2 linked regions of the Cricetulus griseus genome follow. The protein of the gene in region 2 purifies or fractionates together with the protein of the main gene of each other region. This does not show direct contact. Links are inferred from orthologs where the notes say so. Each region holds a gene or a part of one and is shown on either strand. Other genes may lie near its edges.

The links. Proteins that work in one complex are often made in the same cells at the same time.
Region 1: the proteins of Srpk1 (region 2) and Drosha purify together in Homo sapiens (affinity purification with mass spectrometry; 3 studies listed by BioGRID and IntAct, counting the BioPlex papers as one, with this or other methods). This does not show direct contact. The link is inferred for Cricetulus griseus from reciprocal best matches to the Homo sapiens genes SRPK1 and DROSHA.

Annotation. Positions count from the first base shown.
Region 1 is NC_048595.1:345,853,288-345,861,000, reverse strand, and holds part of Drosha (ribonuclease 3), read right to left. Parts: intron 6,395-7,713; coding exon 6,253-6,394; intron 5,003-6,252; coding exon 4,848-5,002; intron 2,047-4,847; coding exon 1,966-2,046; intron 1-1,965. UniProt on the Homo sapiens protein: Ribonuclease III double-stranded (ds) RNA-specific endoribonuclease that is involved in the initial step of microRNA (miRNA) biogenesis.
Region 2 is NW_023276806.1:233,694,703-233,702,415, forward strand, and holds the end of Srpk1 (SRSF protein kinase 1), read right to left. Parts: intron 5,967-7,713; coding exon 5,874-5,966; intron 4,472-5,873; coding exon 4,287-4,471; 3' UTR 2,222-4,286; downstream 1-2,221. UniProt on the Homo sapiens protein: Serine/arginine-rich protein-specific kinase which specifically phosphorylates its substrates at serine residues located in regions rich in arginine/serine dipeptides, known as RS domains and is involved in the phosphorylation of SR splicing factors and the regulation of splicing.

The sequences.
Region 1 (7,713 bases), on a different chromosome or scaffold from region 2:
CGACACCAATCAATATGTGTCCAGACCTGCCTGTCATAAACATGGATTCTGTCAATCCCAACAAGCAATTAGGCTGAGTGGCACAGGCAACAACCCATCCCAAAGGAGGGTGGCACATTCAGAATCAAACACACAATAGGATCAAGGGTCAGACAAGCTGTCTGGCAGATGGCCCAGATCCCTACTGGCTTCAACACTGTAGCATCAGCCATCCTCTCTTCTCAGCTGGTGAGTAATGATGCAATGGTGAAGGTGGAGTAAAAAGCTCAGGCCTGGTTTACAATCAGGTTAATTTAGAATGTGTATGCAAAAGAAAAACTGCATCTCAGACTTGTTCTGGGATAACTTTGAAAGACACCAATGAGGGAGAAAGCTCTCCAGTAAACAGTTCCAACAGCGTTCCTGAACAGGTACTCTAAATGGAAAAGGAAGTAGCCTGAAGATGCCCACAAGGTAAAAGACCAAAGGATCAAGAATGAAAAGGTATTGGGAGAGACTTGGAACTGGGTTGGTGGGAGGGACTTAATGACTTTACATCAGTATGGTGACCATCAGAGCAGCTATTATGGCACCAAACAAACAAAATGACTAGAGCAGTCATGTCTGTCCCCACATCACCTTGGAGATGACAGGGTGGGCACATGAGTGAAGTGACCACAGTAACGAGAGGAGGCTTTGCATGACCCCAACAGCACAGGCCTCACTTAACAAGAAAGAAGCCAGCTAAGCTAACCTTATGCTAGTGACCATCTATCCAAATGGCCAGGTACAACTGGCCCCACTCCTTGAGAACAACCTCCTATCATTAGCAAGTTGATTGCCTAGGCCCCTTCTATCTGTACAAGTAGAATATAGCCCAAAGCATACAGCTGATACCACAGCCCACTCAGACTCCCATCCCAGAAAAGCCTGTTGCCTAGCTATAGGGAATGCAGTCGGCATGCAGGTTGCAGCTGTTGGTCACCCCCAGCTACAAAGCCTCCTCTCCTGTGCCTCCTGAAAGGGCTGCTCTGGAGATGAGAGCATATGATGGTATAAAGGCCATTCCAGCCAAACAAAAGGAAATTCTGTCAAGATGGCTTGGTCAGGCCCACAGAGCAAATGAACCATCCCCCTCTACTCTTGCCCGGACTCCTCTTCTCAGACACTGATCCCCAGCAGCAAGTCAGAACACCCTACCTGAGGCACAGGGACAGATGCTCACAGATGAAACCCTGCCAAACTCCTCACTACACTCACTGACCTCAGAACATAACTAAATAAATAATCAGGTGGTCTTATAGCTTTATTAGAGTCTCAAGCTAGTTTTAAATAGAAATTAAGAACTTACATATTCTATGTGTAGGTAAAATGTGTTGAATCATAAAATGGTAATCCTGGGCTTAATGAAAATAACTTATGAAACTGAAAGACAGTGAGGAGAAAAAAAAAAAAAAAAAAAAAAACCATAGCAAACTAATCAAGAGAGTAGTTACAAGTGGCTACATAGGAAATGTGTTCTCTCCCTTCAGTCAAGCTTAGGGTTCCTGAGAAGCCAAGGCTGGACTATATTGTCAATGGGAACTCAACAGTTGGTAGAGACAAGGATCCTGACAAGTACTGCAGTGAAGATGAAGCACCTGCAGGTCCCCAGGGGAGGAGAACATGACTTGAATAAAAACATTCATAACCACCGATGGAAACAGGACACTAATGCTAGTGTGTCCAGTTCCAGAACACTTAATAACAACACAGATGACATACATGAACCTTCCAACCTCTTTTTAGTTTCCTTGACAACAGTCTGTAGTGTACTCAAAGCCCAAATATCTTCCCTCTATAACTGTCAGTAACAGAGCCTCTAACAGGGAACATGAGAAGATTACTTGGACGACATTATTTCATTTAATGGGAAAAGAATAACAATGGCATCTGTCTACTTGGGACTCCTTGGTGCTTGCACAAATCATAACCCAAGCCAATTACCTCTTCTCCAGGATAGATGCTGTGCCGAATTCCTGTGCGTCTGGCTTTGGCGCTGCATTTGCAAAGTGGCCCATCATTCATCTGTCAGAAACAGAAAGCAATTCAGTTTTATTGTGGGGTGGGGGGAAATCCACACGAGGGAGGCACAATGATGCCTCAGAAACTGTGAGGTTTAATGTCATGAGTACTGAGGCCCTGAAGAGGCTGTCATGGTTGGAAGATGAAACGGATGTTCCAAAACTAATAAAGGTGCAAACTGTCTGTAATATATGATAAAGGGAAACCATATGACAACACTGGAATCCCAAGTTATTTGTGCAGCCAGGCAGGAAATATCAGTGTCAGTACGCTGTTCACCCTCACAGTCTGCAGCACTATCCTTTTTCTTATTTCAGGGAAAATGACTCTACACACAGAGAGGCAAATGTACGTCATATCCTAAAGGTACACACAGGCTGCTTTGAAGGTGGCCTGCAGATTAAATGTTCTAAAAACTAAAATATGTATGAAGCACGGGGGTGGGGGTGTCCAGTAGAATAAAAAAAAAAAAAAAAAAAAAAAAAACTTTGAATGCTAGACAGCTTAAAATATACCCTCTTCCACCTTGTTTCACTTGACTCTGTACGTGAAAAATGTTGAACACCTCTCAGGACAGTAAGTACCAAGCAAAAGAGGATAAGTAGCAGAGTAGTACACTTAGATTTGGGAAGAAAAAGAAACTCTGTCTAAATGGACATAGTTCTGGAGCTGCTGTGGTCAGTTAGGCAAGGTTTAAAGAGAAGAAACGAAGTGCTGAGCAGCACAGAAAAAAAAGATGAGTATTCCACACATACCACATGCCTGGAACTCTAGCAACGGCAAGGTCCCTCCCTGAATACTCACACACCAGCTAGCTAGGCCAGACAGGTGAAGTTCCTGGCCGATGAGAAACTCTGCTTCAAACAATAGGTGGAAGGTCCCTGAGGATTACACCCTTGCTTGTGTTCTCACCTCCATGCACACGCACAGCACACACTTATTTACACACATACTGAGGATTACATTTGTGCTTGTGTTCTATCCACTGTGCACATGCAGGCACACATTTATCTAAATATTTAAAGCAGAAAAGAGGTGTGTGTCACTTATATGTAAATACTACACTATATTCATAAAAGACTACATCTGTGGATTTTAGTGTCTGTGCAGACCCTGGAATCAAAATCTAACATAGATACCGAAGGGTGACTACATATTGATAGCTGTTGTTGTTGTTTTTGAAGTTCTAGGGATTTATAATTCATTGTATTCAATTAAAATATAAATGAAACTATCTCAATAAGACTTTGACAAGAAATAGTAAAGCCAAACTCTTTTTAGTCTCTTGGGAAATATAAAGCTCCTGGAGGTACAGCAGAAAAATAGCATCACTATCAAAAAACCAGTGCTGGGATATTATCTGAAGTAACAGCTGACAAGTGAGAGGCTTTCTAACTTTCCATCAATGGTCACAACACACTCCTAGTGCCAGTGCGAGCTCCAGGGCAGCAGACAAACAGCCTCCATTCTTGCCTTCCACCAGGGTCTACGCTCCCACATGGACCCCTTCACAAGGCTCAAATACACTGAGAACAGGAAACCAAGTACAATCAACAGAATAAAGGGCCCTAGGAGGCTGAACAGGACAGTAACATACATAAAGCAAGGCTGATAGATACTACCTGACTGAGAACAACCACCAGTGAAAAAGAGCAGGTATGCAGAAAGCTTTCTTTTAGGGAAAAAAAAAAAAAAAAGTTCTAAAATTATATTGTAGTAATGGTGTACAGTTCTGAAAAACAACAAGGGATTACAGCTTCTAGTAAATTCTATCCTATCAAATGCAACTCCTCCTTCTGAACAGAAAGGAAAATGTAACAGCACCTTAGGAATGGCAGGGCTCTGTGAGCACAAGGAACACACATGTTGCACAAAGAGATATGCAGGCACAATGCATATCTTAACACTTAACACTTAACACTTAACATAAATCAAAATAAAAGGGCTGTTTCAGTGAAAAAAAAAAAAATTTAAAAAGCCTTTAAAATGGCTGTTACCTGACAAGAATCAGAAGAAAATTCTAATTAATACTGAATGGCATAAACTTATTCACAAACTGTAACTGGTAAATTATCATGCAGAGCAAGTAGGGACAGGTCTTACTATGTGTAACAAATTCACATTCATAAAAGACACATTTTTGTATGGACTGTGCATTTGTAATATACAAATCTGCTATAAAGATACCGTTTTTTTTAGAGCCAAGCCCTGTGGCACAGACCTGTAACCCATCACTCAAGTGGTAAGCCAAAACTGCATAGTGAGATCCTGTCTCAATAACAATAAATATACACGTATAGACATTGTTTTTATCAAATATTACTTTAAATGTTTCGGCTGTTAAGTCATTATTAGCTCACATGCTTAACGAAGGAGCAAATTTACAAAACTTCATGACCTGTTACCAACTAAAACAAGTGATACTGCACAGAGTGAGTCAGTTCACTATTTAGCAGCAAGATCCCTTCCAGGTGAACTGCTTTACAAAGACCCACAAGTTCTCCCTCGTCCTGCCATTCCTCTTCTTCCTCCTACTGCAGGTTTAATTAACAGCACTACCAGCCTGCTCCCAACACACAACTCACAAACACCATCAACATGATTCAAGGAACAGCTGTTCTGTGCTCACACTTTGCAGCTGAACTCTGAAGCCGAAAGGAAATAGCTCTGAAAAATGACACACAAGCCCCGGGAGTAAAGGTCCATTTTTATACCAGCCAACATGCATCTTCTCAGCCCTGAGTCGTAAATGTGATGTGTGGGTTTGCAACCTTCATATAGCGAAAGCATAAAAACACTCGAACCTGGCCTGGGTCGTTGTACCAGAGTTCATCATGCAGCCGGTCAGGGTGGGCCTTTTTGCGTTTAATCTCTGCGATGACATCAAACACCTCGGAGTCTGAGCTGCTTGAGCAGGTGCTCTCCTCGTCGGACTCACATTCAGATTCACTGGAACTCTCTAGCAGAAGGCAGGAGAAAGCAGGAGAAAACATAGCAGAAGTTCATGAACTTAACAAAAGGTTCTGAAAGACTTCCAAGTGTCCTAAACCTCAAAGGTAAGGAGCAGCTGAGATCTAGAAAATTTTTGAGGGGCTACTCGACACCAAACACTGCCAAGCAATGCCATGAAAACCAGACAGTTTGTAATGCTAAGTCATAATCTAGCTGAGGAAAGAATGAAAATACAGATTTCTATAAAGAAAATGAGAATAATGACCAATATCAAATAAAAATAACACAATAGTGATTTCACACTATTCAATAGTTAGTCCTCTAAAAGCCAGAAAGGTCAGTGGCAATTTCCCAGAAGGGGCATTTGTGACTCAGGCCCTGGAAAGGAGACTGATGGAAGGGAGAGAAGGGATGAAGAGGGGCCGTGTAGTCAGGGCATGGAGACAGGATTGGAAAACAGGGATCCTGAGCCAGGTCATTGGTTTCTGAGTCTATCATTTTGCCACTACTGTATGACATGAGACAAAATTAATCTGGGCATATGGAATGTCTCGGGAACACTTCCACCTTCCGGCCAAGATCAAGTGCAGTAACATCTGAGCATGGCATTCTGTTAGGGGCTAAGGACACAGAGTGGCAAAAAACATTTCTATCCTCAAAGGTAATACCATCAGCACACAGTGTAGCCTGTAATTCTAGCACTCCAGAAGCTGAAGCAGGAGGACCACCATGAGTTTAAGTCTGGCTTGGGCAAGAGATTAAATTTAGGGCTACCAAGACTACAGAATGAGAACCTACCTCAAAACACTAGACCAAGTGGAGAATCTTACCGGCTACTTCAAACTGAACTCAGAACTGACACTTAAAAACAGACATTTATGTGAGTAGGTAGAGGCCTTCACACAGGGCTGATGCTTCCTCATCAAACAAGGAGCACTGAGCAATGGAAGAGCCAACAAGTACCACCTGCCTGTTTTAAGGTTGCAGGCACAGGTCCTGCTTTTAGAAGGATGCTGGAACACAATACTTTCTGGTTATAAAGCTAGACAGCTCTGCAAAAGATACACTTGTTAGCCCAACCTAGAAAATGAGATCTTACATATTCTGGAGCGTGACTGAGAAAATAGGACCACATATTTGCTGACTGTAGCTAAGAAAAATAAAAGGAAAAAGAAAATGTTTCAAGCTGGGACTCTGAAGGTTATTTCCCCAGCATCAAGCAGTAATAAAGGAGCAGACACAGGCTCCTCCACTCACCTAAATCTTCATCTAGTTTTGTCTTCGGAGGCTCCCATGGAGGCCGAGCAGCTTTGGCCTTCTCTTGCCTGTTCCCCAACTCTTCCTCAAATTTGTCATATAAGTCACGGAGCCTACTTGTTCCAACAACAGTAGAATCTCCCTTTTCAAAGTAAAGGAGCAGTAATGAGAAACCATTTAATAATCACTATGCTAAAAACCATTAACTACAAGATGCCATTTTTAAAGTCCCAATGCAATCAATATCTGAAAAGGAAAATGCCACACACTGGTAGTGAGACTCTGAGCCAAACACATACTAAAGTGGCTTCACTTCATCTTGGCTTAAAGTCAGAGAGTTCAAAACTATCCTTACTCTTCCAAGGTTAAAATAACACCTAAAGGTCTAAGACGTGGCTACTGTAGGCTGTCTGGTCTTAGGCATGGATGTCTTATCTAAATAACCAAAGACTTGGTCTGAGGTGTGGTTACTATTAACTCTCAAGGCCAGATAATGAGAGATTTAGTCTAAGGTGTGGTTACCAAATGTCTTCCTTCTGGACACCTAGTAAGAAAACTGAACCTACTCACTCAAGTAGCAGTATTTTCTTATGGCAGCAAGCCTCACTAACAGAACACTGACATCCTACCACAGACATTGTGACAATTAATTAGGACAACATTAGAAACCTGGAATAAAATGTCAGCACCATGAAGTGCTCCACATGTGCACTTTCCCTTTGCTACATAACATGAACTATATGGCTTAAAAGCTTGCTCCAACTTATCACATATCATTCCACTATCATGGATTCTCAAGTCTTTTCTTACACAGACAGGGCAATCTTCCAGGTTCCCCACTGACAGAAGCAACTGGCAGTCCAAAAGCAATACCTATTCAGTAGATGTGTTTCAGGACCAGCAAGAGGGCTTGGCAGGTAAAGGCACTGGCTGCTGGGCCTCACAGCCTGAGTTCAAGCCCATACCTTCCTCGTGGACAGAGGAATCAAACTCCCACAAGCGGTCCTGTGATCACACACGTGTGCACTCACACATACACACAATATGTGAATGTTTAAAAAGAAAAAACTACTCAGATTTGGGGTTTAAATCTTTTCCCCAATTAACAAATGCTGTATGGTCCTCTCTTAAGGACCTGTGAGATGTTGCTCTCAGGCAGGCACGCCATATGAAAAGATAGAATCCGTATTCTATTTCATATTATGCTGCCAGGATTTCTTGGATTCATGTTTCCAAACTTTATATGAGCTACTCAATACTTGATTGTAGGACAAACTTTGTAGAAGATGATTTTTGTCCAACTACAGAGTAGAACCTCAGTGTTCTAAACACACTTAAGGCAGAGTAGGGTTAACTATGACTATAGTGGTGTTACTATAATGGTGTTAGAATAACTATAATACTATAATGGTTAACTATAATGGTGTTACTGAGATGTAGCCCTGTCCTAAACCAAGGAGC
Region 2 (7,713 bases):
AAACTCTGTCTCCAAAAACAACTGAACAAACCAAACCAATCCAACAAACAAAAACCCTAAAGAACAGAAAACAAAAGCTCTAAGCAGTAGACAAATCTGATAGGCTGGGTTGGGTTCCATTAGCCAATGGGAGTTTCTGTGAAAACTTGTTCTGATGTGGCAAGATGCTTGCCCCCAAACCCTGGATTTCCAAGCTCTACACTTAAGAGGCTTGGCAGGAGACCAATGGCTGACCAGTCTGGTAATTTATTGGTTTGTTGCATCTCACAGGTCTCTTTCTAGACAGAACACAACAGCCTTCTAGGCTAGCATCAAATTTGTAGTAATCCTCCTGCCGCAGTTTCCTGAGTCCTGGAATGATAGGTGTGCGTTGCTATGCCCGCCTACAGCACAACAAAATAACTCAAAACACTATGTAGTTCATGGGTACCTGAAAAAGGACTTTTTATGACTAAAAATGCCATAAATATAAGGGGAAAGGCAAATTAAAACCTGGGCAACTACATGGAGCAAACAACAAAATTTCATTAACTTTAATATATAAAACAAGTCCTAACCATGATAGTAAAAAGAAAGCACTCTAGGGTAGACATGATGGCTTGTCTTGAAAGCCTGAGGATGAGTTCAATTGTGGAAGTAATGTACAAGAACCAACTCCTAAAGTTGTGTTCCTCCCCCACACATGCATGAGCACACACACTCACAAATGGTTTTTAAAAACTAGGAAAGCCCTTCAAAACAAACTGGAGTAGAACTGGATGATGGTGGTACAAACCTTTATGCAACACTTAGAAGGCAGAGGCAGGTGGATCTCTGTGAGTTCAAAGCCAGCTTGGTCTACAGAGCGAGTTCCACAACAGCTAGGGCTGTTACACAGAGAACACACATACACACACACACACACACCAAAAAAGAACCCTAAGTAGGACCAGGAGTGGTGGCACCTGTCTTTAATCCTAGCCCTTGGGAGCCAAACTGGTCTACACAGTGAGTTCCAGGACAGCTAGAGATACATATTGAAATTCCCCTTACCTCCCCACCCCCGCCCCAAGAAATCTGAGTTTAAAGAAATAAGACATTTAAGTGGGGCTGGAGAAGTAGCTCAGGGGTTAAGAGCACTGACTTCACTTCTAGAAGACCTGGGTTCAATTCCCAGCACCTCACAACTGTATCAGTTTCAGGGGACCTGATACCCATGGCAAAAAAAACACCAATGCACATAAAGTAAAAAAAATAAACAAAACTCCCATATAAATGGCCAATAAATCCTGTAGTTTCAGAGCATGTCCTGGCACTTGCTCTGTAGACCAGGCTGGCTTCGAACTCAGAGATCCACCTGTCTCCATCTCCTGAGTGCTGGATTAAAGGCATGTGCCAATGTCCGGCCAAAACCTGTTAAGTTTTCAATCTCACCAGTACTCCAAGTAATCAGGGCAGGATATGCCCATTTCTGGATCTGTGGCCCACACAAGCATGGCGGTAGAATACTGGCCTAGCGAGTGCCAGGGCCCTGACTGCAGCACAGCAAATACTAAGACACCACAAAGGGCTCAACAGGTTGTCCCAATAAACTGCCTGACCCTTCTCTGGTTCCATTACCAGAGGCCTCCAAAATCACTTCCACTGGCTGCTGGTATCACTAGGAACTTACCACAGGGAGTGGATTAGGCAGGTATACCTGACCCTCCTGCCAGTGGCTCCACCAAAAACGGTTGTACTGTGTATGTCATTTGCTAAGTTCAAGAGGGGCAGTGAAAACCCTTCATATGATGGGAAAAGGCTACTCGAGAACCAATGTACACACACACACACACACACACACACACACACACACACACACACACACACACACACACACACACACACACACCCCTGTGAGGCAGCCAGGCTGGCATTATGTGCCTTCCTTTGTAGCTTTTTTGCTGGATAGTCTCACTGAGCCTGCAGCTCTAGGGATCCTGTTCCCATCCCCTTAAAGTCATCATGCTTTTGATTTTCAAATTTCACACCTGGCTTTCTTGGTGGGGTGGGTTTATGTGCTAATCACTGAATCACCGCCCCAGATACACTCCTGAATGTAATAAATACAATTTTCTGAAATACATCTCAATTCCACAATTAAGAGTTAGGAGCAAAATTTCAAACCCAAGAGAGTGCCTACATTCTGTTTTATTGCATAGTTAACTGGGCAGCAAAGAAACGAAACCTCTGGAGACAAGCAGGTTATTAAATACTCTGTTTATTGTTCTGCATTTGTGAGGACACAAACAATGCACTCAGTAGAAAGAATAGAAAACATACCAGGGCTTTATTCTCAACCAAGAGCCAACAGCAGTCCTCCAGGGAGACCTGGCCTGGCCTCTAGGGCATCCACCGTGCTCAGGGAGGCCATGGATGGACAGACAGCTCCCACTGCTGCCTCTTCCAGCTCTCCCAGGTCCTCTGGCTCCTTAAGCAATAGGGGGAAGCCCTTATTTGGTGGGACTTATTTCCCAAATGAAGTTCCAGGGTCTCCCCTCATGATTAAAACAGGCCTGCTGTTGGCTTGTTTCTTGGTTACGTCACTAGGATTCCCGTAATCCTGCAACCGTGACTTAGTGAGAAGCAGTTCAGGTGGGTCTGCTATTGCTTTAGATGTCAGTACAGTTGACACCCACAGTGGAGTAGAACTGATGTAGGGTTTCCCTGCCGTTATGTGATGTCGTCTGCTCTCTTTATTCCTGATAGGTGCATAGATAGCCTGACTTTTTAAAAACTCTTTCTACAGGAACACGTCTGGTTCCAGGAATAACCAATCAAGAGCCAATAATGGCTGGCCAGTTCCTCAGGCAAAGCTGATGAGTTCCATGAGCCTACTCTTCTCCAGGCTCACACACAGGAAGGAGGCAGTGGCTGGTTTCGCTCAGCTTGCTTAGGAGAGCCTTGGCTTGCAGGCCCAAGGCTTTCTGCAAGTTAGAAACCGAGCTGTTTCCAGACAGTGTGGTAATTAAGACCCATTGGTCCTTGCTAAATTAGCAAGCAGCTAATCCCGCCTCTTTCCTGACGCCCACTTCACCTGAGGAACAGGAAATGTTTAGGTAATCAAGTTTATGAGAGGCTGAGCCAAAAACAAAACTCACAAAGCCTTTTTTGCATTAAGAAGAAAAGCCTCAAGTACATTTCAATCATCTCAAAATTGTAGTTAGAAACTGACATTATACAAGGAAATAGCAGCATAGGATGGCTAATATCAAAACCAACAGGGGGAAAAGAAAAGTGCCATCCCCTCCCCTCGGCTCTTCACTCAAGACCCAGAGTCTCTGAGAAACAAGACAGCAAAGCCACGTGGAGAAACTGCATCAGGGCCAGGGTTCCAGGCAAGGCAGGAGGAGCTGTGAACGGGCGCCAGGGGCTGTCTGGGAAGGACTTGGAATGCGGGAGCACTCCCCAAGGGCACAGCTCCCATCTGGATCACCTCAGCGTTCTAGTTATGAGATAGTAAACACAAACTGAGCAAGCCAGATGCCAGGAGGCATTCCAAGCCAGAAGTGTGGACCACAGCAACTGCTCTTACGGCAACAGAAGACACACAGAGACGGCTATTTGCACAACACCTGAGGCTCTCGGGAAATATCATTCACTGGTTCTGTTTTGTCTAATTAAAAATCAGAATCAAAATTCCAGGAACTTAGTTAATGAGAGTATGACAGAAATCCGACAGTGCTTTCAACAGTGATATTGGTAACCAAATTTGTTGCTCATCGAAAAATGTAGCGTCAAAGTCGAAGGAAAAAAAAAAACCAAAAAAACAAAAAAAACGTGAACATAGAGAACACAGAAAGAATCCAGGCAGATGACATGGCCTGGACACAGCACTTTTAATGTCTCTGCTGCTGCTCACAGATTCATACCCCTCCCTCCTCAACCTTATGCTGGCAGCGGGATACGAATTAGAAACCAGACTCTTAGAGTTGGTGAATAAAAGGAGGGGCTCACAGATCTTCACAGCCCTCTTTAAAAAGGGTGTTGACAACCTAATGAAAAGGGCAGGGCAGAGGGTGGGGCTGTTCATACTTTTAGTCTTTGGCAGAGCCCAACTAAGGCCAAATTCACCTAGGATGTCCAGCGGCTGTGGCGATTTCCACAGGGTCAAGGAAGCAAACCCAAATGAACATGTTGGATTAAAAAAAAATTTAGAAGCCCTGGAAGAAAAGAGCTTCACCCTGAAAGGGAAGAGGGAAAAGTCTCAGAGGGGAGGGTCGGAGGGTCAGCCTGATGAACTCTGTTGCAGCTTGAGCAGAAGGGGCTTAGGAATTGAGCCAAGGGTGGCGGAGACACTCAGCAGCAGTGGCCCTCTTCTCAGGGATGAGCTCCAGCATGGGCAGCAGGAAATCTGTGAAGCCAGCAGCCTCCTCCTGAGGCCACTCATACTTCTCCACCAAAACCTCCAGAAGGCCCCAAGGCTTCAGCTTGGTGATGTGTTTCAGGTCACCTGTGGGGACACAGTACAAGGGTCACACGGTCCAAAGCCTCATGGTGAGCTCCAGCACCGCCTTATAAACAACTGGCTAGGTCTAGCAAACACTGCTTTTAAATGAGGCGACGGTTTGCAAACAAAAAGCCAACAGCATGACAGATACACACAAAATGCTTCAGTGGCACCAAGGAGTTGAATTGCTCCTTGGAACTGACCTTTTCCCTCCAACAAATGGTACTTGGATCACACCACCGAGCAGCACCCACAGTTCTCAGATGCTTTCTGGAAGTACCTTAAAACCCCGGCAGCTGAGATCTACAGGTCTTAGCCCCTGCCGTAAGCAAGGAATCTGAGGTCATCACTTAACAGCTTCCCTGGGTAAATGCTACTAAGAACGCAATCCACACAATGAGATTGGGGGCCCTTTTCAAAGGCCATGCCGTGACTGACTTTGCACACATGAGAGTCCCTTAAGAGCACTTTCCCAGCTCAAATGAGCTTCAACTTTTCTAAGGACGCCTCCTGCTCAGGTTCCTCAGCACTCGTTAGCAGCTAAAAAACGGTACAGACAACAGAGCAGATCTCCAGATCCTTCCAGGTTCATTTTCCACTTCAGCTCATCTCAAAGTTCATGCCTGAGGAGGCTGGGCAGAAGAAGACTGCCCCGAGTCTGAGGTGAGGACTGCCCTAGGCCAGAGAACTAGACACTGTCTACAAAGTGAAGACATTATCAAGCTACCTCTTCCAAGTAATGTGGTACCCCTTATTCTTTGTTTTGTTGGAGATGTGTCCCTGTGATGAAGCCTCGGCTGACCTGGAACAACTCCTGCCCTGGAGACTGGGGGCTGGGATGAGAAATGGGCACATCATGTCCACACTCCTAACAGCACAAACATGACACTCAAGTGTTGTTAGTCTGTGTGGAGAACCCCGGGATGCAAAGGTGAGCGGGAGCACTGTCCTTGTCCTAAGAGGCTTTCAGTTACTAGACATACATGTGCTTAAGTACTGGGCCACCCCTCTGGGCCCATATTGTGGTTTCTTTTTTAATTTTTGGAGACAAAACTTCTCTATGTAACATCTCTGGCTGTCTTGGAACTCTCTTTATAGACCAGGCTGGCCAGTACCACCCTACCCCACAGTGTGTTTTTTAAGTAGGTGTGGAGGCATGCACCTCTAACCCAACCTGAAATACATAGGGAGACACCACTCAAAACCAAATCAAACCCAACAGTGTGGCTGTGCTGACCCCATACCGCTTTCAGCGACTGTTAAGGCACACTGGGTATCCATGGAATCTCTCTCTCTCTTACACTCACTCACACACTCACCTTTCTGCAGACCAGACACACGGACGTTCTCATTTCAGACACTTTTTTTACCCTTCAATGACTGGAAACAAACATATCTGTTTTACCTTTTTTGGTGAAAAATTCCTTGGAATATTTCCCTGCCACAATGAGCTTGCGAGGCACCTTCCCCAGAAGTTCTATGATCAAGGCGATGTGATCTGTATGTGCAGACATTTCAGGGGACAGAGAAAACAGAGCAGGGTCACAAATGTGGCTCTAGACAGCACACATGCCACTGTCAGGGCCTTGCATACGTCCTTCCTGTCCTCATCTGTCTAATGCAGGGTCCATTCCAATGACAGACGCCTCAGCACCTCTCCAGGCAGCCCTGGGTGACAACCACCATCAGTCTTGGTACAAGAAGCCCTGCTTCAAGTTGTGTCCCCGAGCGTGTCTGCCTGAGACTGAGAAGTCCTCTGATTATTTCCAACTGTGGCCAAAGGGCCTTGGAATCTTGCCTATCAGCTACAGCATGCGCCAGGTGGGCAGAGATAGAAGAAAGACGAACAGGATCAAGGTGAAGCAGTAAACAAGGCTTTCCAAGGGTTAGCGGGTTCAAGTGATAATGAACAATACCCAGGTGTCCAGGGGATATTGAGGAGACCACAAATGACCTTGGGTCCTGCTTGCCTAACTGCAAGCTTTCTTAGTTTGGAGGCTTATCTACAGCCAGAAACCTGAGTCCAATGGTTCCTCAAGCAGAGGAAAAGCATGTCAGCATTCCCAGACCAGCACAATAGCTAAATAACAACACACACATTAGCTACAGCTCTGAAAAGTCAAACAACAGCACAATGGCTGAGGGCTGACCTGACTGTGAGTACAGACTGCGGGATGGAATTCCAAGAGCAGACGTTTCAGTCGGGCGGTGGTGGCACACGCCTTTAGCCTTTAATCCCAGCACTCGGGAGGCGGAGGCAGAGGCAGGCGGATCTCTGTGAGTTCCAGGCCAGCCTGGTCTCCAGAGTGAGTGCCAGGATAGGCTCCAAAGCTACACAGAGAAACCCTGTGTATTCTGTAGCACACACTTCCTACAGTCTGGTGAAGACAAAGTATATAAAAGAGATATAACAGCATTGTACAGCTCCATAAACCTACAGCTATGAACTTCTAAGACAGTGGTTCTCAGGGCTGGAGAGATGGCTCAGCAGTAAAAGAGCACTGGCTGCTCTTCTAGAGGACCTGGGTTCAATTCCCAGCACCCACATGGCAGCTCACAATTGTCTGTAACTGTATTTCTAGGGTACTTGATACCCTCATACAGATAGATATACATGCAGGCAAAATACCAACATACACAAATAAAAGAAATTTTTAAAAAATTTAGTGGTTAAAAAAAAAAAAAAAAAGATAGTGGTTCTCAACCTTCCTAATGCTGCAGTCCTTTAATACATCCTTCATGTAGTAGTGACGCCAACAACAAAACCATCGGCACCACCGTTTTATCTGCCTACCTATGCTTTTTTGAGACAAGGTATCTGTAGCCTTGGCTGTCCTGGAACTCAAGAATTCTACCTGCCTCTGATTCCCAAGTGCCAGAATTAAAGGTGTGCACCACCACCACTCCCTCTCACCACCCAGGCATAAAATTATTTTCCTTGCTACATCATAATCGTACTTTTGCTACTGTTATGAATCATAACGTAAGTGTCTGATATGACCCATGTGAAAGGGTCATTAGATCCCCCAAGGGGTCAAAACCCACAGGTTGAGAGCTGCTCTTCTAAGAGAACACGAGGTGTGTGGTATATAGGAAACAAACCCTACCTGTACTGAGCAGAACAAGCAGGCCCCTGACCGCCGCCTTCAATACAGTACTTAGGAATCTCAGCAGGCTGCATTCACACCATCTATTAATATCCAAAGGGATCCACGCCACCCAGCAGAGGGCAGCCCTGCTTCCAA